Drosophila melanogaster: one gene and its partners. The main gene of each other region encodes a partner of the protein of the gene in region 3 in a complex. Each region holds a gene or a part of one and is shown on either strand. Other genes may lie near its edges.

Region 1 (5,094 bases), on a different chromosome or scaffold from region 3:
GTGCCGATGCGACAGCATCACTCGAAAGTGACGCGCCCACCCCCGCCGCCGACGCTTTTCCTGGAAAACTCACTGCTGCAGCGCCAGTTCGCGAATCCAATTAGTTACTTGGGTGGACCGCGTCTGCAGCCGCGCAGTAATCGCACCAGCATCGACTCGATATTATCGCTGGATTAGCACCGCAGCCAGTTTCCAGTTCTCCGCCCACTGCAATCCGTGGAAAACCTCGCCGACTAGTCACAAACTGTCAACTGGTGGGCGGGAAAACCCCCAGTGGATCCTTTTCTCCCCCCCAAATGCCACAATCTCCTCAACTTAGAAACTCAAAGTTAAAATCTTAAAAATTGTTAGCTAGTCCTAGTTAAAATACAAATAAATTGTTACAAATTATCGTTTAGTTTGTTACTAAGAAACCTAAATGTGGAAACGTAAGTATTTTGCTAAAAATGGGAAATCGAATACTTCCAAAAGAAAATATTTAAAAGATAGCAGCTCAATTAATTTTCCATTAAAATTAAAATCAATAAATGTATAAATATTTTTATTTGATTAAATTAGTTTCTGCGTTATTCGCCACATTGGATCGCTTGTAAGTATGCATTCACTTTTTGCTTAGCTATACACTTTCGATCTTAAAATAAATTGTGTTTCCGCCCACTGATTACTGATTTATCCCCCTTTGGGAATATTCCCACTGAAAAAAAGGAGCCGATCGCAGTGGGACCTTGTGTAGGGGCGTGTAGAAAAAGCCCTGGACATGGCTACGGGGCGTGTTGGTGAAGGGGGGCGCGGGAATGAGACGACACTAGGTGAAATCCGGTGGCTTGTACTTCGGCGGTCGCTTAATTGGCTTCTATAACCAATTGCGGCCGCCACGTCAAATGTTGTTCTCCTTGGCGCCCTTGGCCCCGGCACCGGAACCTGATCCCGAACCGGATCCGGCATTAGCTGTCGCTCCGGCATCATTATCGCTCTTGTTGTTACTGTTGTTGTTGCTATTGGTATTAGACGCCGTCGATTCCTCGCCATCAGCTCCGTCGCCTGAAAACAGCATAATGGTTTAGTTAGTAGGGTTTAAATACAAATTACAAGTGGTCAGTAGAACCAATTAAAATGACTAATGGTTAATCACTCACCCTTTTCCTTTTCGTCCTTGATCTCGCTGGACGTCTCTGAGGATGCCTTGTTGCTGTTGGTGTCCTTGTCGAGACGCGGCCGCTTCCGCTGACCCTTGTACGAACGGTTATCCCTGCGACCGCCTTCGCCCTCATCCTCCGAATCGGAGTACTCGTTCTCGGGCACAATGCGCTTGTCCTTGTCGCTCTGCGGCAGGCGATCATCCTTGTCGACCTTGTCCTCGTCGTCGGACTCATCGTTGATGGCATCCTCGGGAATCGCTTGGATTTGAACGCCCGGAGCGTGAGGCAGCATGCGCAGGTTCTCGAACAGACGGTTCTTGATCTTCTCCAGGTACTCGGATGTATTCTGATTCGTCATATTGCTGGGACTAATGTGCAGCTTAAAATCGGGCCCAAAGTACTCGAAGTAATCGTTGTAGGGCAGTTCGTTGGCTATCTCCACGGCCAGTGCAACGGAGGTCTCATAGGTCCAGCAGCGGGATACATTACGAATGGTATAACCACCACCGCCGACCATCAGGAATGGCAGGTTATATTTCTTCACGAACTCCACGCACTTGCCGTGACCCTTGACGGTGAGATTGAAGCAGCCTAACCGATCGCCAGTCAGCGAATCGGCGCCACACTGCAACACCACGGCTGCCGGCTGGAATGTTTCCATCACCTTGCTGATAATGGGCACAAATATGCTCTCGTACGCATCATCATCCATGCCATCACGCAGGGGTATATTCACCGCATAGTACTTTCCCTTGCCGGCGCCAATGTCTCGCAGATCGCCAGTGCCCGGGAAATACTCTCCGTACTTGTGGAAGCTGACAGTCATCACACGATCGGTGGTATAGAACGCCTCCTCCACGCCATCGCCGTGATGGACGTCTATATCTATGTAGAGAACACGCTGATGGTATTTAAGCAGTTCCAGAATTCCCAGAACAATGTCGTTGACGTAGCAGAAGCCCGAGGCTTCCGATTTTTTGGCGTGATGCAGCCCACCGCCCCAATTGATGCAGATCTCCGAGGCTTGCTTATTCAGTTTTACGGCCGCAGCTACGGATCCTCCGGCGGAGAGTTGGCAAAACTCGTATAGTCCATCGAAGACGGGACAATCTTCGCCGACATTGAAACGCTGCATCTGCTTGTTGTACTCCGACATGTTGTCCGGCCGAATGGATCGCAAGAACCGGACGTACTCGTCCGAGTGGAACTTGGTCATCTCATCGGCAGTGGCTTTATGGGGACGCTAGAATAGAGAAATTCGCGTTTAAATCTATCATATATATATATATATCTATCATCACATATTAATAAAGTAACTCACGTATATTTCCATTTTTCGATAGAGCCCATAGTTGAGCAGCAGGTTGTGGGTCATGCGTATGCGATGGGGCTTCATGGGATGACCCTGGCCATAGTAGTAGTTGCCAATGTCGCCTATGGATCAAAAATCGCAATTATGAGCACGTTGAAAAAGTAATTATTTGCCACGCTATGTGGAATACAAATTTTAAGGCCACTGTCGGCGAGGCGTCTGCCTGAGAGCAGCACTTTTTCCGAACGACCGCAGTAGTAGCACTTTCGCCCCGAACGAAAAAGCAACAAAAACACACAGAAGAGGAAGATAGACATCAGGTACATACACACACAAACGCATACAAACGCACTGCGGTCGTATGGAAAAAGTGCGCTGTGGACCGGAACGCGCTCGTACAGTCGCCGTAAAACTTGAAATTTGCAAAAATGCTATCATCTGATGCTAAGTGGATGCGGAAAAAACACAAAGTCGACATGGTAACCCTAGCTGGCACTTTGTAAACACAAATTACCCATCTAGTAGGCCTTTTACTTCCATTTAAATGCTCAAAACTTACTGTCGTAGTAGTAACAAACGCGCTTTTTGCTGTGAGACTGCATTTTGCGGTGCTGTTGGCGGGTCTTAAATCCCCTTAAAGTCGATGTTTTTCTATCCTTCGTCGATCGGATGAACTTGCGAGCTCAGAAGATGGTTTACTTTGGTGCCGGTCCGATTTTTGGCACTTTGGCGCAACTATATAGCCAAAATCGGAGCGCACAAGACAAATTCGCGAAGAGGAAACCTCTGCAGATGGGCAGTGTGACCGCGGACTTTTTTAAATCCACACTTCCCGGCTCTGCAGAATATACTTTTAATACTAACTGCATGAATACCGAAAATACCAAACAAATATATTTAATTATTTATTAAAGAAATATATTTAATAAATTTACATATGAAATACGATTACCCTCTTCATACAGAGTGGTCATTTTTTATTAGATATATAAACAATCAGACCTATGTACTTATCAAAAATTATCAAATATCACGACATATTTTTTGGAAAAATAGCAAGGATCAATTATAAGTTTATAAAGCAAAGTTTATTGGCTAAGATCACGTTGCAGAGTCTGAAGCTGGAACTAGAGATGTTGTTGGAAAACATTTAAGTTTAAGCATTCGAATAAACTAATTGATTTCAATATTTTCTATACAAATATAAATGATTCATTATAATTTAAGAAAAACAAAAACACAGAAGTAATAGGTTGTAGTCCGGGGTAAATAATGTTAAGTCGATTAATCGATAGGAATCCATGCTAATATCGAACTTGGCCCATCGCCAGAGGGTGCATTCCCTCTCTCTCTTTCAGAGCATCACCCATCTCGCTCTAAAATCCACCGCAGTTTCCCACGATTTTCCTTCTCACTCTAAAATTCACCGTTGAACGACTCGGACGCGATTTTCCAGCGCGGGTGATTTTCCTCCTCGGTCGGCGTTTTTCGGCGGCTTCTTATCGACAAACAATAGTGCTCAAGTACAACGAGATTTTGTAGTGTTTTGGAGTTGCTGAATTAGAGGCGATTGTTAATTGAATAAAATTAATAAAACGGCGACGCGTAAGTTTCCAACTCCCCCATGTGCAAGTGTGCGTGTGTGCCCTGTGTGTGTGTGTGAAAAAAGAGAAAGAAGAATGGAGTTGCAGTGGAAACACAAACACGCTCTCTCGCTCCATCTCCCTCGCACGCACACACTCACTGGGCGAATGAAGAAGTGGAAAAATTAAAACCGAAGTAAAGTGACAAAGCGAAGTGGCCAATAATGCAAGAAAAAACATATGAAACCCGCAGTGAACATTTAAAACAAAATTAACATTTTTCATAGGCGGCTAAAATATCCTGCGCAGCTTTTCTCTTTCCGACTTTTCTCTTTTTCCCTTAAGAGTCTTTTCCTATGCCTTTCCCCCTCGGAGACCAACGCCTCTCCTTCGCAACTTTCTGTTACTTTATGTTAACTTCTCCCCTTCTTTCTCTTGGTTTTCCTCCTGTATTTTTCTCTGTTGTTGTTGCTGTGCCCGCAGGATATTTAAGACCTTTTTTTGCTGGCGTTTAATTATAGTTTTCATTGCTCTCTCTCCTTCCCGCATCTCTTTTTCCAATTAGCGTCGAAGTTCGGCGTAAAGTAAACAGCAAAAATATAGTATTTGTTGTTTTTATTTGGCCCGCAGACCGTGCAGTAAAAACAACAACTTTAACAGGCGTAACTGTAAAGTCCGCTTTGCTTTTGATAGCAAATAAAGAGAATCGGAATCCGCAGCAAAGTTTTGATTTATTCTAATTAAAAAAGGTAAGTGCGATATAAAACCGGATTATAGCTCCTTTTCATTCGCACCTCCTTGGCCCGAAGTGCCGTTAGGAAGAGAAGCCAATGAACGCAAATAAGTAAACACAAAAACTAAAAAAAAGAGTGCTAGATTTGCTCTCCCGCTGCATTTCTATTTATGCTTCTGTGGCTGATAATGTGTACAGTGAAAAGTCGAAAGATGAAAAAATAATGAAGAAATGGAATAAAGCTTAACTTAAGGAATCTTAAGACTTGTTGTTTGTTATATTTCGACACATACTAACCATTTCTTCAGGCTTCTTTGCGCTTAAAAA
Region 2 (4,389 bases), on a different chromosome or scaffold from region 3:
GCCACTCCGTTCTCATGATCGAAACTGTAGTACTCGTATCCCTTAACGCAGGCCAATCGCTTGGCAAAGAATATGTTGGCATTCACCGACAGCATGGTGTTTATGTGCCACAAGCCATTAATCAGGGCCTCGGTCATTCGTTTGAAATCCTCCCCAGTGTTTGCCAGAGCTGGTTCGTATACCTTACGCATCACAATGTCCAGGCGGAGCTTTGACTCCGCCCAGTTCCTACCGCAGATGTTGTACTCATCCTTGATGCCCAGCAGATAGCCGAGAACGCGCCACATATGCGTAGTGGCCTCCAGGAAGTCCTGATCTTTCAGCTTTATGCGATGTGCGCCCATCGTTATGAAGCCAATGAAACCGAACTGCGTGAGCGCCAAATCCTTCTGGGTGATCTGTCCAGCTCCTTGGCGGGCGCACGCATGACTGGAGCGGCTGTGGGCCCGCCTCACGGCCGCAATGCTGGTCCAGAACCTGCTGCCACGGTCCGCGATGTTGTGGTTATACCAGGCTTGCGTGTGGAATATAGTACGCACATAGCGACGGTAGGCGGTGAACGCTGTCGAGGATTGGCGTGTGCACGACAGCACCCGGAGAATGGATGGAATAGCCAGCACGGCAATAAGACCAGCCAGCATTCCGGCGTTCATTACAAAGCGATACGTGCTAAAGTAGCTCTGACCACTGCAAGGAAAAGGAATAAAGAATCAATTAAGTAATTCGAATGCAGTTATATTATTTAAATTAAAATATACATATACATACATGTACATATACATATATATTGTTAAAAGTAAATGTATGTCGCCTTTTGTTATTAATATGTAAGCCCGTAGGTACAAAATTGGAATAATGAGCACAGATAAAGATAAGTATTATATGCTGCCTTTTCGCATTATTATTCACATAGCAAACTGCTACATAACTCCAAGCTTATAAATAACCCATGTGTATATGGATATTGTAATTATCACAATTATTTCTACTGTGGTTACTGGGCTAATATGCAATCAGTGAACAATTAGTCACGCAACTTACCGCCTGAATAGCTGCTCATCGTACCACGAAGGTAGCTCCAAATCAGCACCGCTGTCGCCCTCCTGACTGCCCTCCTTCATTAGGTGCTCCAAGTAGTCCTCGGGCTCCTGGTGATCCTGAAGCAGTTTTGAAGCCCCCGCTGCATTATGACCATCTTTGGAATGCGATGACGACTGCATTTTCCCACTGATCCCTGGAAAGTGACGTGCGATGTAGAAAACGAGCTTGAGGTCCAAATTCGGATTACACAAGTGAAAGAAAGAAAAGACAAACAAAATCGTCGGCGCGCCAAGAGAGAAAGTTTTTCATTCAACCCGCCAACAAGTCCACTGTGCACTTACACGTTTCACGCTTCGCGGGATGGGGGATCTCGGATGAGCTGCTGGTACAACCATCAACCTGCATGTCGGCCAAATTATTGCTTGTTAAACTATTTAGCAAACTCAATAGTTCAGCTCGTTACGTGCAAAAACATTTTGCATACACAATTGGAAAAAAAGCGTTGAGGATGAATCACGGCTGCCCACCGTCGTTGCGGTTGGGGAACTTAACTGCAACTGGCACGTTAGGCTCGTCAAATAAGAATGGAAAGCCGGTCATTGGCGCGTAAACTGGTTTCGAATCATTCGCACTGATAACGAATTAAGTAGTAAACTTTGTTTATGCACTTTAGTGTGCCCGCAACTGCAACCGTTAAAATATACCTTTTAAAACCCCAAATATATCGATGTAAACCACAAAATACTAAAATCATGACGCAGGAACGTAACAAGTATAAAAATACCGCGCAGTGTCATCTCCATAACTCTGTTATCGTTATCGTAATCGAATATGGCAGTCGTCTCGACAATCTTTAGCATTGCATCTCTATCATCGACGACGCGCTTGCAAAAAAACGAAGGAAATTAGCCAATTTCTATTTTGCCCTGACGTTACGCCGTTTAAAGTGTAAGTTCCCGGCCAGGATTCGACTCAATCCCTGCCACAACGACTTTCGGTCAAGTGTTCGTTGCGAGAGCTTTAACTACGTAGCGAACTTTCGTAGTTTTTCTGCACACGTTTTGCCGCTTCGGCTTTTGTTTTGGCGCCCGATTTTTTCGGCTGCCGACTTTTGACGCAGACTGAGAAATTGCGTGCCTAAAAGCCTCGAAATGGTGGATCGCAGCGATAATGGTAAGTCCGGTTAGAAGTTAATCGCCGCAATGTGTAACCATCGACCTTTAGCAGCGGAATCCTTCGACGACGCCGTCGAGGAGCGCGTGATCAATGAGGAGTATAAGATTTGGAAAAAGAACACGCCGTTCCTGTACGATCTGGTCATGACGCATGCCCTGGAATGGCCCTCGTTGACTGCCCAGTGGCTGCCGGACGTGACCAAGCAGGATGGCAAGGACTACTCGGTACATCGTCTTATACTGGGCACACACACATCTGACGAGCAGAACCATCTACTCATCGCCAGCGTTCAGTTGCCCAGCGAGGATGCCCAGTTCGATGGTTCGCACTACGATAACGAGAAGGGCGAGTTTGGAGGCTTTGGATCGGTGTGCGGCAAAATCGAAATCGAGATTAAGATCAACCACGAGGGCGAAGTGAACAGGGCCCGCTACATGCCCCAGAACGCCTGTGTAATCGCCACCAAGACGCCGTCGAGTGATGTCCTGGTCTTCGACTACACGAAGCATCCCAGCAAGCCGGAACCGTCTGGCGAGTGCCAGCCTGACCTGCGGCTGCGCGGTCATCAAAAGGAAGGCTACGGACTCTCTTGGAATCCCAACCTCAATGGTAAGTGCGTAGCTGTACCTAGTACTTATATATTAGCTCAGATAAGAGCTTGACACATCTAAAATGCATTACGTTTTAACCCTTAATGAACATCTTGATTGTCCTTACAGGCTATTTGCTGTCAGCCTCTGATGATCACACCATCTGCTTGTGGGACATCAATGCCACACCCAAGGAGCATAGGGTTATTGATGCCAAGAACATCTTCACCGGCCACACCGCCGTTGTTGAGGACGTGGCTTGGCATCTGCTACATGAGTCTCTGTTCGGATCGGTGGCTGACGACCAGAAGCTGATGATCTGGGACACGCGCAACAACAACACCTCGAAGCCCTCGCATACAGTGGACGCTCACACAGCGGAAGTCAATTGCTTGAGCTTTAATCCCTACTCGGAGTTCATTCTGGCCACGGGCTCCGCTGACAAGACTGTAGCTCTATGGGATCTGCGCAACCTCAAGCTAAAACTACATTCCTTCGAGTCGCACAAGGACGAGATCTTCCAAGTGCAGTGGTCGCCGCATAACGAGACTATTCTCGCCTCCTCCGGCACTGACCGCCGCCTACACGTCTGGGATTTGTCCAAAATCGGCGAGGAGCAGAGTACGGAGGATGCTGAGGACGGACCACCCGAGCTGCTCTTCATCCATGGCGGTCACACTGCCAAGATTAGCGATTTCTCGTGGAACCCCAATGAGCCATGGATCATTTGCTCCGTGTCCGAGGACAATATTATGCAGGTCTGGCAGATGGCCGAGAATGTTTACAACGACGAGGAGCCAGAGATTCCCGCCTCCGAGTTAGAAACCAATACCGCTTAAAGCATCTGTTCCGCCTCCTATAATACACACCAAACTACAACTGAATCCGATAATGTTTTGGCCGTGCCCCGTGTCCAGCTATCCAGCCTAAATGGCAATGGGTACTCATTTTAATTTATATATATTTACATATTTTTAAAAACAAAATTTAATTAAGCTCTCATTTGTCAGCAGATTGTACAATCTATGAATTTTTAATTAAAAATGATTAAAAAGTCAAGAAATGAGGTTAATTTTTTTGAAATTAAATACCAACTTAGATCTTCAAGCGTATTTTATTTAATTCTATTCAAAAAGAAGCACATTAAACCACATTGTATTTGTGTTTCTTGCCAAAGACTTCTATGTCCACACTAAGTCCTCTGACATCCTCTTTATGTCTTCTTGACGTGATTTTCCCACAAATGACGTCTCCTTCCTTCACAACCTGCGGGTTCTCGATGAAGAAAACCGTTTGCTTCCAATGGGTGGGCGTCGCAGATGGTGATGTGCTGAACATGACGGGGGAGGGTAGTTCAAACAATGTTTCAAAGTAACCGACAAAGGCGGATAATCGTCCCGGCTTCGTGACCTTTAAGCTAAACTGGTGAGTAAAGTTTGGATAGTTCATATCGACGGTCATTATGTCGAAGTTAGCTATCTGTTCGGGTTCCGTCAGCATGAACTCTGCATCCACCACCTGCATGAGTGGCTCCTCTATTGATTGCTTTCGCAGATCGCTCATGTCGACCTCGTAAACGTTA
Region 3 (5,402 bases):
GAGGAATTCGAGCATATACAGGAGAAACTGGGCAGCAAGCTGGTGAACTTTGGCCATCTGGAGCGTGAAGAGTACTTGAAGACCCTGCTGACTGGGGACATTGTGATATCAACTGCCGACCATGAGTTTTTTGGAGTAGCAATGCTGGAGGCCGCTTTCTGCGGCTGTTATCCCATTGCGCCCAACAAATTGGTCTACCCGGAAATCTACCCAAAGGAAAACCTCTACAACACCTCCAATGCGCTGACGAAGAAGCTCTACAACTTTTGTAGAATGCCGAGGGTCTTTCGCAAGCAGCGCGATCAATTCTTTGAGAACTTTAATTTCGATCGTTTTTCGGCGAAAGAACTAGTGCCAAAATATCTGGACATATTCAATAAACATATTGCAGACGAACAAAGTTAGAAATCGAAGGTTTGGCAAATGTCTATCAAAATATTCTCTGTAATATAATAGATATATTTTTGAATAAATATATCTCTCTTCTGTAACCTACAAAGCCAAAAAAAAACGATATATATATGTAAGTCCTTTGTGTTAAAACACGCTTCATTCACTTTAAGCATTTATTTATTTATGAAATATCCGAAAAAAATGGGATACAATTTAAGGTGGATGTAACCAATAATGCCATAAATGTAGCACAATAAATTCTATTTCGAAAACACAATTTGGATGAAAATTTGGGGATTCATATCTACAATATTATAAAGATGATGCGTATAGAATTTTGTTTGTAATACCTGAATATAGCCACATAGAATTTAGAGCGAACCAAAGCGGTCGAACGAATTCACCAAACACTTTTGTTTCTCGAAGTTCAGGGAGCGCGAAATACAGGACAGATTTTTGAGGCACGCATAAGCCTGCTCCTCCATAAACATTTGATCTCTGGACTTGCCACAAGCGACGCGTGCCCACTTGGGATCAATGACATGATCGTAGGTCAAGCCACCGCGGTACTTGTTAATTCTGCGATTATGGAATGGTCGATTCTCCTTTCTGCCCTCGTCGAACGGCAGGTCCTGTTCGCTGCACAGCGTGTCCTTCAAAATATCGCCCGGCGATGTGAGAAACTTGCTGGGCGTCTCGGTTTCGAAGGGTTGAATCCTCTTGGCGGAGCCAGCGTTGTATGGATGATTGGAGCTCCAAGTTGAGAGCAATGACTTCCTGGCACGTTTCATATGCGGCGGCGACTGAGCATTGTATTCGGTGCTTAGCGTTGAGTTCTGATCGGCGGCGCCCATCATTTTGGAATTGTTTGCGGTCAGCGAGTTGCTCAGATGCTCTTCATGGATGATTTCGGCCAGATCCTCCACCAGACTGGATGGGCTGGAGGGCTCGTATCGACGACCGTCCCTCTTCTTGCCGATGGCAGCAAGTGCCTTTTTGAAGGGCGTTGGTGTTCGTGGTCCAAGTTGACCTACAAATAACGATGATTGTGTGTATTCAAGATGCATTTGAAGCCAACAGTGGCTTGTACTTACTCTTGTGTGGAGTTTCTATCGACGATGTCTCCATTTCCTTTTTGATCTCCATTCCAACGCGATTATAGACCTTGGTTACCGGCGTGCTAGCCCGCAGATCCATATCTTCAAAGGTGGTCAGGCAAGGCGACTTGAGGAAGTGACTCGGTGAAAAGGGTAGCGACTTAATGGGCGATATGACGGGCGAACTCGGTGGTCGCGACCTGGCGTTTCCGGCGGCTTCTTCCTGGTTGAATGTCTCACTTGATGAACATCCTGCCTGATGGTGAGTTTCGGGAATGTGTTTGCGTGTACGCTTCAATATGATCGGTGTTTGGCGCGGCATGGTCAACTTAATGAGATGCTGCATACTGAGGTGTGCCAGATTGGATCCCTTTTGATGATCGTCTTGTGATTCCTGTGCCAGATCACCACCTTTCACGGCAGTAACCGAAGCGCCATCGGCGTTTTCGGATTTATTAACTGCCTCACCACCAGATTCCTTGTTATGTTGCATATTATTCATACACTTGCTGATGCCACCGGACTTGATCAGCGTGATGAGATGGGTTCGCGAACTCTTCAAATCGCTACCAGATGCATTAACCGATCTGCGTTCGACGTCATATTTGCGACGCATTGTTGAATTCCAATGGTTTTTAATGGCGTTATCGGTGCGTCCGGGCAGACGTTTGGCAATCTTTGCCCACTGGTTGCCCAGCTCCAAGTGAGCCTGGTAGATAATCTCGTCCTCCTTTTCGGTCCAGGCCGTTTTCTTGATATTCGGATTGAGGTGGTTGTGCCATCTCTCGCGGCACTGTTTCCCAATTCGTCCGTTCAGATATCGTGCAATTAGTGTCCATTTCTTGGGCCCGAAGTTGCGCACCAGCTTAATAACCATGTCGTCCTCGTCCCGCGTCCACGGGCCCTTGATTAGCTCCGGATTGAGGACTTTGGCCCAACGCTGCTGCACTTGCTGTTCCAGGCGATCCTTGAAATGCGGTCCGATAATCTCCCAGTTCTCACCGTGCGTCTCCACCAGCTGCTTGAGCAACACATCCTCGGACTTGGACCAGCGTTTGCCGAATCCATAGTTCGGATGCACTGCACCGATGCTAGTTTTACCGCTTTTGTTCTGTCCCTTTTGCCCCGTCGTCTTGGAGTCCTGTAGTTCGGGCGAGTCCAGTGGATAGCCCGAATCGGCATTGCTGTTCTGTTGTGAATCCTTGTCGCAAACTTGGGTATCCTCGTTCTCCGAGTACTCGGACTCCTCCGAATCCGAATTGCTGCCGTAATTCATCAGCTCCTCGCCGTTTTCAGTGCTCGCACTTGCCATCTTAAGATCAACTTTATAGGTATATATATATGAATAATGGCGCTCTTTGTATATATGTGTATGGGTTCTTTAACGCTGCTTGCGGGGCGAACAAAAGTGATAGATCTCCGGCTCTGACTTGTTCCCACGCTGGAAACGATGAACGTCGCGTTTGCAGTACAAGCACTTGGGCAAATGATCCAGAATATGCGGATGGTAGAATATGTAGTGCGAGCAAATGTCGCTGTACGAGTTACACTTGAATTGATTTCCGCACGTCAGGCAGTCGACCAGTTCACGTTGATGATCGCTGCGCAATATTGGGTGCGTCGCATCGCTCTCGGTCCGCCCAAAATCGAATAGTTTTGTTTGCTGCTCCTCGAGGCGATTTTGGTTTGGATTCGTGTTCTTTGTTACTTGAAGATTACAGATATTTGTGGACATACTCATTCAGGCAGCGAACTAAAAAGCAGATGCAAGTTTTACGATATTACGTTTATGCCAAACATTTTGATGCTCTATATTTAGCACTGAGGAAAACGGGGGAAAAAAATTACCACTCGCACATTTGTCTTCATCTAAAGTGGTGCTACCGTTATTTCAAATTCAAACTGCTGGGCTATGGGTACACACTTTGGTGTTTTTGATCAGTTCATTCACGTTTTCACACTGGAATTTTACGGCGTCGCATCTTATTATATTAAATGTAGTACTTAGTGTGACCGTTACACGAGCACTAGCGTTGTAATTCAAAACGATTAAAATCTATCGATAAATAATCACTACGGTAATCGGCACGTTTCCACTAGAAGTCAATATCTTGTACGATAGCTGGGATAGTATCGATATTTAGCTATCAACTTCTTGGAAATATTGTTAAAAAGTTGCCATCGGATAAAATAATTTTGTCAGAATTGCCAAATTTAGTTGTCAGTAGCATTTATAGGGACTGAAAAATATATTTATAAAACTATTAACTTCACCTATACATTTAAGATATTTCCATTGAACGCATCACTTCAACGTTAATTGCTATGTTTCTTTAGTTTTCAATTGAAATGCAGTTTTTTATTTTGTAAAATACTATAAAATTAAAAATTTTTCCAAGGAGGGGTTAAAGCTTAACATCTCCTGGATTTAAAACTTGACGTATATTAATATTAATACGTGAATCGTCCATATATCTCGAAAAAGGCTCCCAAAATTGAGGGTTGCCAACATCATGAAATAAATCTTTATCAATTGTACGCGTTTTAATATCTGCATTATCGACATCTTCAATTATCAGTGATAAAGTCGCGGAAGCCTGAGTTTTGATGATACGAGGAACTGCGTGATAGCATAGACGCGATTCTCCGGACATTATCATAACGTCCCCGGATTGAAGGTAGATAGCGGTTGGCTTTTCTTCTAAAGATCTTCCACCAATTAGAAATATTGCAGTCTGACCAAAACTGTAAGCATAAAATTAAAAAAAAATTAGCTGCACGGATATGTTTAATCCGTGATATATTACCTAAAAGAAAACAAAGGGGCCGATTTGTTTGGTTCAGAGTGATCTGTGTGACCCGATAACGTACTACCAACTGGATAGTAATTTACAATTGCGGCTTCTGGCTTAAAATCCGCGTATCCCAACGCTTGCGCAAACAATCCGCATAGACTGCTCAAATCTTCGGGAAACGGCGACTGCATCTCCTCATCATAGATCTTCGTGTCCCAGTTGTGATGATATCCAAATGTCGTCCAACGCATCGCGGATTTTATACGTTGGAACTCAACGCCATCGCTGCACAGATTAAGCTGTTTCCACCAGTCCGACCTGACGGATTCATCGAAGAGCCTTTCATTTAAATTGACTATATTTGGCGTTCGCGGAAAATCCCGCAGACATCGGGCGCTCCAATAACGCCGGCCTCGTTCCGAGAATGGATTCCGAATCACAATAATGCCGGGATGGTTAGTTAATGTATAGGTTCGCCAATCTTTTGGCGATTTAACGCCTGGCATTGTCTGTAGGCTTTCTACATTGCTGATACTTAATCGTTGAACAATATTCTGAGGGGAATGTAGAAATCATAATTCAATTGCAACGGATCGAGTACTTACATTATCACTCTTTTCTTGATCATTCCCCTTGACTACACAATCATCGATCTTAACAACTTCCGTTAAATCAGGACTGGTACTTTTGCACTTGTACTGCTTAAAAACTAGCTTGAACATGCTTCATAAACAATAAGTACAATATAAACAATAAGTTAATATAAACGATAGCAATAGTGTGACTGCGTTTGGAGAAATCTTAAATGCTTTTGAGCACGTTTAGAAATCAGACATGTGGTGGAAATACTATGGGATAGATATAAAAATTAAAAATGAATGCAATTCATAAGAGACATTGCCGAAAAAGCTCGAATGTCCTTTTCATGGAAAAAATTTTAAGCCTTTTTTCATGAGGTGATTCATTTGTGATTAATCTTATCGATATAAAGTTATCGATATATGAACGGGACTTTTAACTATTTTGAAATATTTTTGTTGTTTTGAGACCGATTTTTTCATTGTTTACGTTTTTGCAGTGATCGTTTTCATTATTTCGGTCGAAGATACGTCTTAAG
Region 4 (5,912 bases), on a different chromosome or scaffold from region 3:
CAAAACAGTGTATGAAAAATATGTATAACAGGGCATATATATATATATATATATTAGCATTACTAACCACGTATATGTACTATAGTCCTTAAACGATTATCACATTTTTACTCAAACCTTGAAACTACATACATACACACATATGTACTCATGTCATGCCATGCCATGTTTATAGGGTGAGAACCGGGAGAAACCAGAACACAAACATACTTATATGCTATTTATACATACCAATGGTGACCAAGTAGAATATATAACTATACTTAAACAAAAAAAACTACATATATACAAAACTAAATACCTACTATCAATACAATCAACTAATATATGCATTACCTATACTGTAGTCATTCGACATGTGTTTATTTTATAGAGATATTGCTAACTAAGCTGATACCGATATTGTGAAAAACCAAACTAAATTGCGTTGAGTTTAATATACTCGCCCATCAATAAATTTGAAACAATGCAAATGCAAAATACAAATATGTAACTGAAGTTGTTGGTGAATAAACAAGCTACAAAACAACACAACGTCTCTTTTCATTTGTGTTCAATGGTCATTAAACTTTATTAGGTATCTAAATTATTTACATTCAATCCAAGGGAAAAGTTTACAACACAATTACAATGCTCGGCCAAAAATTAAAATAGCCTTATATCTGAAATTTGCTATGTATGATATATACATTTTGTGTTTAAATTATTTAAATAGGGTAAACACTTTACTTTAAGGTCAACTTTTAGAAAGCCAAAATTAGAATATGATTGAGAAAAGGTCAAGAACTCTTTGAACTTATAAACTAATTAATGTGTGACTATATTTGCATGCCTAAGAAGAAGGCTTGGACTCGTCTATCTGAGAGGTTTCTTGCTTTTCCTTGGCAAAAGCGATGATCTGTGTCAGACTTTCGCCCATTTCCTCCATAACCTCGCGCTCCATGTCCTCCACGGCCACATTCTGTTTCTCGTGCATCACAATCCGCGATATCATGCACATGATGGTCGCCTCAATGACATCGTCCGTAAAATATATATTTGCGCGATTCTCGTTCAATTGCTTGTTTTTAGCTTTGTCCTTTTTCTGACCCTCGACACCCATCAATCCGTCCAGAGAGTCCATGTCCACGTCCGGACGGTCTTCCATGTTTCGACACCCTAAATAATAAGTTGATTGATTCAGTTAGTTTGATCATAGATAAAACAGATTTATCAGTTCACTTACCAACGCATTTACATATGCTGGAGCAGGGAATCTTTGCCTCATAGCACTCACAATAGTTCTTGAGGCAGCCCGATCTTTTGCAGTTGCAACCTTTGTTATGCAGACGCATATCACCTGAATTGGGTGCCGTAATTTTGGGTCTGTTTAAAAAAAAAAAAAGTAGTTGTGATTAGCATCTTTAGAAACATAGGATAGACCTCATAAGCTTTTCCTTTCAAATAAACTTACTTAAAGGCGCTGGGGTTACGATCGAGGCAGCTGCGAATAGCACGCTCCCGCTCCACTTCGTAGTCCAGATTGTTAAAGCAATCCTTGCAGGTGCAGTCCTGACAAAACTCGCCGTTTGCAAAGCAATCGCAGTAAAGCTTTAGACACTGCGACTTGCTGCAGTTGCAGTGCTTTCGCCGCGAAGTCATGCCGCCCAATGGATCGACGGCTCCGGCTGCTGCCGCGGTTGCTGGAGGTTTTAGGACTTCAAAGAGCGGCTTGGCAGGTACATTGGCCTTCACCCCCGGAGGCAGTGTCGGCAACTTTGGCTCGACCTTGATCGGCGTCGATTGTTCGGTAGGCAGTTGCTGCTGTCTAATCCGTTGCTTGGCCTGCGCTTGAAGTTGCTGGTGCTTGGACTGCTGCTGGGGACCCATCTGCTTAAAGCGGTGCTGTTGCGGGGAAATGGGTGGCGGGCGTCGCGTCTTGTTTTCCACATATCCAGTGTATCCCCGTCGCATGGCACTCGTCGATGATTGGGGCACACCCGAGTTACAGATCATGTACTTGGCCCCATTGCTTCCAGTCGGTTGAACATAGTTGTAGATTTTCTTTGTGGAGTTGGAACTGGGACTTGTACTGCTAGACACCACACGCTGTACATTCGCTGTCCGATTAATTAGTTTCTGAACTGGCTGGGAAGCTGCCTTCTGTGATCCTTGCTGCATGGTAATAACGTAACGCGGCTTTTTGGCCTCAGGACCCGCATCGCTGCTGTCGCTAGCTTCACTGCTGACCGAGGCCGATTGCTTTAGCTGCACATTGAGATCAGTAAGACGGTGTTTGCGTGGCAACTCCTGGCTGGCACTCGGCGTGGCGCTGCTGCTCGCCGCACTGGCTGGTTTTGAAGCGTTGGAGATGGCGCCCAGCGCACGCTTTAAAGATGGAAATTGAGTTAGAATGAAATAAATTTGTACCAACACAAGTACCAACCTTTGAGACCAACGTCTGCACGGAAGGCAGCGGCACAATGCTGCCACCCATTGATCGCATTACAATCTTGTTAGTGTTGCCCATGGCAAGGTTTGCCTTCGATGCGGCTGCAGGTGAAGCTGCTGCTGCGGATGTTGTAGTAGATGTGGCAGGAACACCAGTAGCAGCCGGTGGCCGCACCACAGTGATCTTCTGAGTTTGCACTGTTTTCGGGATTGAGGCTGTTGCACTTGTTCCGGCGGCACTCTTATTGTTGTTCAGGACACGTACATATTGTATTCCTCCCTTGCCAGGCAGCTGAATAGCGTGCAATCCGCTCGAGGTGGAAGGTGTCTGTCCGCCCGTCGTGTGGGTTGTCGAACTGGTGGCACTCGCATTCGGCGACAGCTTAATGATGTTCTTGTTGGATACAAGAATCTGTTTGCCGCCACTTTGAACCAACATCTTGCCCGGTGTTGCGGATGCACTGGCAACGGAGCCCGTCGCCGTTTTTACAGGAGTTTCTGTTCTCACCACTACCTGGCCAACGGGCTTGTTGAGCACCACATTTCCCGTGGAGGGAGATAGTTTGACAGAAGTGGCGGCAGAACCTCCTGGTGTGACTGTGGTCCCAGTTCCCTGTTTGGCGTTCACCAGCAGTGAGGGACCAGCCTGATTGATCTTGATAATTTTGCCATCGGCAGTGCGCACCACCTGAATTTTGTTGGGCTGTGCCAAAGATGGGGATGTGGTTGCCGTCGTGCTGGAAGTCGACGCCTTCGCAGTGCCTCCGGCCAGCGGTTGGATGCCCTTTAAGGTTATGGCTGAGCCGGGTACCGAGGTGCTTGCTTTGGCAGGAACAGCCGCCTTGACCAGACCCGTGCTTGCCATGGTCACGCCCTTAGAAAGCACTGCCTTCTGGATACCAGAAGGCGCCACGAGGCGTCTTATTCCACCGCTTGGTGACCCTGTCACCGCAGTGCTGCTTTGTGTTCCAGGAACAGACTTCTGGACAAAGATGACTTGGCCATCTTTCGTCCTAATCTGGGTCAAGTTGCCCAAAGTCTTGGTTATGCTGCCCGGTGTGGATTTGGTCGCTATGGTCGTGCTACCGATCTTTAGCGTACTGCTGGGTATTGGTTTCAATTTGTTTAGTATCTTTACGTCTGTAACTTGCGCCTTGGCCGGAGGAGTACCTCCGGCAGTCACCATCTTAATGGCGTGCGACTTCAAAACGGTTAGTCCGGACGAGTTTAACCTCTTGTCCTCCAGTATGTGGACCACGTTCTTCTTAAACTGCGGCGTGTTCAGGGAATCGTTGGCCGGATCGGCCAGATCTTCACCGCCGATATTGTCTTCCTCTGAGTCCAGAGCTTCGATTTCCATGTGCTGGGAACTCTTCTCCGACGTTGGCTCCAAAAAGTCTTCAAAACTCAGCTCCGGCAATGGTTCCGTGTCGTCTAGGGAATCTGCGGACAAAATAAGTTATTAATTACTTTGCAAACAAACGTTTACGGTGCTTGAATCTACCGGTCAAGTAGTCTACGCGGTAGGTACTCATTTTTGCCAATTTTCAAATCAATTTCAAAATGTTCTTTATCATCAGCTGCGTTCAAGGCGGTTGCAGCAGTGTTGTAAAATGTCGTAGTCAGGTTATTATCGGCCTTGTTTGATTTTATCGGCTCCATTTCGATACCACTCTATTTCGGATGCCGTTAACATAGAGCGATAAGCAATCGATGAGTGGCGCCTAAATTAAATATTGCCCTTTATCAATGATCAATGCTTACTTACATAACTTTATATAACAAATAGTCCTTTGAAATGCCGAAATGTCAGGCAACAACAGTAATACTTAAAAGCCGTACTATTTTAAATCAATTTTAAGATCCCTACTAATATTCCAAGTTTTAAAACTTCGTTGTCCATAGGTGTTTGTTTATATTTTACTCGATTGTGATTGGAGCGCCAACAACTTATACAATATGCATAAAAATCGCTTAAGAATATGATTTTAGTTAATGACTGACGGCGTTCCGGGGATCTACTTCTTAGCCGCCACCTTCTTCTCGCGCGCCTTCTTGCCCTCCGTCAACTCGGATCGCTGCGATTCAGTCAATGGGGGCAGAGTGCTGGTGACGACACCAGTGCCCAGGGTCAGGTTTCCGTCACGCAGCGTGAAGCGTTGTCCCTGCTCCAGGACCATTGGCCGGATGAGGCGCAGAATGAGCTTGGTGTCTTCGCCGGGCATGACCATCTCCTTATCGGGAATCTGCACCTGCACGGCACAGTCCCAGGTGCGGGAGAACATCTGCAGTTGGATGAAGGACATGAAGGGCTTTGTGCGACCGCCTTCATCCTTGGACAGGATGTACACCTGGGCCTCCAGCTGATCGAGTGCCTTCACACTGCCCGGCTTGCACATGACCATGCCGCGCTTGATGTCATCTCGCTTAACGCCGCGCACCAGAGCTCCCAGCTGATCACCGGCTTGCGCCTCCTCCAGAATCTGGTGGAACATCTCCACGCCCGTCACCGTCGACTTCAGCACCTTGTTATAGCCCACGAACTCGCACTCCATGCCCTTCTTGACCACTCCGCGCTCCAGGCGACCAGTGACGACGGTGCCGCGTCCGGGAATCGAATACACATTCTCAACAGGCAGCAGGAAGGGCTTGTCCAGCTCGCGCACAGGCGTGGGGATGAAGCTATCCACCTCCTGGAGCAGTTTCAGGATCGCCTCCTTGCCGATCTCGGGACTCTTGTCCTCGAGGGCGCACAGCGCCGAGCCCTTTACCACAGGGATCTTGTCACCATCATAGCCCATCTCGGTAAGCAGCTCTCGGATCTCCATCTCCACCAGGTCGACCATCTCCTCATCGGCGGCGTCCACCTTGTTGATGAACACCACGATGTGATCAATGCCGATCTGCTTGGCTAGCAGCATATGCTCGCGAGTTTGGGGCATGGCGCCATCGGTGGCGGCCACAACGAGAATGGCGCCATCCATCTGGGCTGTGCCGGTGATCATGTTCTTAATATAATCGGCATGTCCCGGACAATCTGTGTGGCCGTAGTGACGCGTCTCCGTCTGGTACTCCACGTGGGCTACATTGATGGTAATACCACGAGCCTTCTCCTCGGGCGCATTGTCGATTTCATTGTACTTCTTGCTCTCGGCCAGCTGCTTGTCGGCCAGGACCTTGGTAATGGCCGCCGTGAGCGTGGTCTTGCCGTGATCCACATGGCCAATGGTGCCCACATTGCAATGGGGCTTGGTTCGCTCGAACACCTTCTTCTCGTTGGCGTACTCGCGCAGGTACTGCTGCATGTTGCCGGTTCTGGGCGCAGCAAGTAGTCCGTTTCTCTGCCAATCCTTGCAGGCCGTGGAGGTGGCAGTGGCACCCGCCATACGCAGCATTCTGGCAGAGCTCATGGCGCGCCGGCTGCAGCGCAGGGCCAATGACATGGATGCGGTGGACCGGCAGACGGCGGCGGCAAATGCATG

What was found.
Region 1: Myb (region 3) and HDAC1 share a complex: the UniProt entries of both Drosophila melanogaster proteins name them as parts of the DREAM complex.
Region 2: Myb (region 3) and Caf1-55 share a complex: the UniProt entries of both Drosophila melanogaster proteins name them as parts of the DREAM complex.
Region 4: Myb (region 3) and mip120 share a complex: the UniProt entries of both Drosophila melanogaster proteins name them as parts of the DREAM complex.

What each region holds. Positions count from the first base shown.
Region 1 is NT_037436.4:4,624,899-4,629,992, reverse strand, and holds HDAC1 (histone deacetylase 1), read right to left. Parts: upstream 3,260-5,094; 5' UTR 3,054-3,259; coding exon 3,011-3,053; intron 2,574-3,010; coding exon 2,461-2,573; intron 2,383-2,460; coding exon 1,137-2,382; intron 1,042-1,136; coding exon 878-1,041; 3' UTR 526-877; downstream 1-525. Other genes in the region: axo (axotactin), read left to right, coding at 1-177. UniProt on the Drosophila melanogaster protein: Catalyzes the deacetylation of lysine residues on the N-terminal part of the core histones (H2A, H2B, H3 and H4).
Region 2 is NT_033777.3:15,223,701-15,228,089, forward strand, and holds Caf1-55 (chromatin assembly factor 1, p55 subunit), read left to right. Parts: upstream 1-1,875; 5' UTR 1,876-2,192; coding exon 2,193-2,214; intron 2,215-2,265; coding exon 2,266-2,826; intron 2,827-2,936; coding exon 2,937-3,646; 3' UTR 3,647-3,864; downstream 3,865-4,389. Other genes in the region: CG31344 (uncharacterized protein), read right to left, coding at 1-687, 1,042-1,234, 1,383-1,446; Art3 (arginine methyltransferase 3), read right to left, coding at 3,951-4,389. UniProt on the Drosophila melanogaster protein: Core histone-binding subunit that may target chromatin assembly factors, chromatin remodeling factors and histone deacetylases to their histone substrates in a manner that is regulated by nucleosomal DNA.
Region 3 is NC_004354.4:15,854,303-15,859,704, forward strand, and holds Myb (Myb oncogene-like), read right to left. Parts: upstream 3,522-5,402; 5' UTR 3,375-3,521; exon of another isoform or gene 3,312-3,374; 5' UTR 3,226-3,311; coding exon of another isoform or gene 2,872-3,225; 5' UTR 2,803-2,871; coding exon 1,488-2,802; intron 1,424-1,487; coding exon 765-1,423; 3' UTR 530-764; downstream 1-529. Other genes in the region: CG15914 (uncharacterized protein), read left to right, coding at 1-405; CG46440 (uncharacterized protein), read right to left, coding at 2,872-3,225; AlkB, read right to left, coding at 3,896-4,235, 4,298-4,839, 4,891-5,007. UniProt on the Drosophila melanogaster protein: DNA-binding protein that specifically recognizes the sequence 5'-YAAC[GT]G-3'. Component of the DREAM complex, a multiprotein complex that can both act as a transcription activator or repressor depending on the context.
Region 4 is NT_033778.4:13,507,750-13,513,661, reverse strand, and holds mip120 (Myb-interacting protein 120), read right to left. Parts: upstream 4,045-5,912; 5' UTR 3,966-4,044; coding exon 3,935-3,965; intron 3,874-3,934; coding exon 2,426-3,873; intron 2,368-2,425; coding exon 1,454-2,367; intron 1,366-1,453; coding exon 1,226-1,365; intron 1,159-1,225; coding exon 833-1,158; 3' UTR 550-832; downstream 1-549. Other genes in the region: mEFTu1 (mitochondrial translation elongation factor Tu 1), read right to left, coding at 4,449-5,912. UniProt on the Drosophila melanogaster protein: Component of the DREAM complex, a multiprotein complex that can both act as a transcription activator or repressor depending on the context. In follicle cells, the complex plays a central role in the site-specific DNA replication at the chorion loci.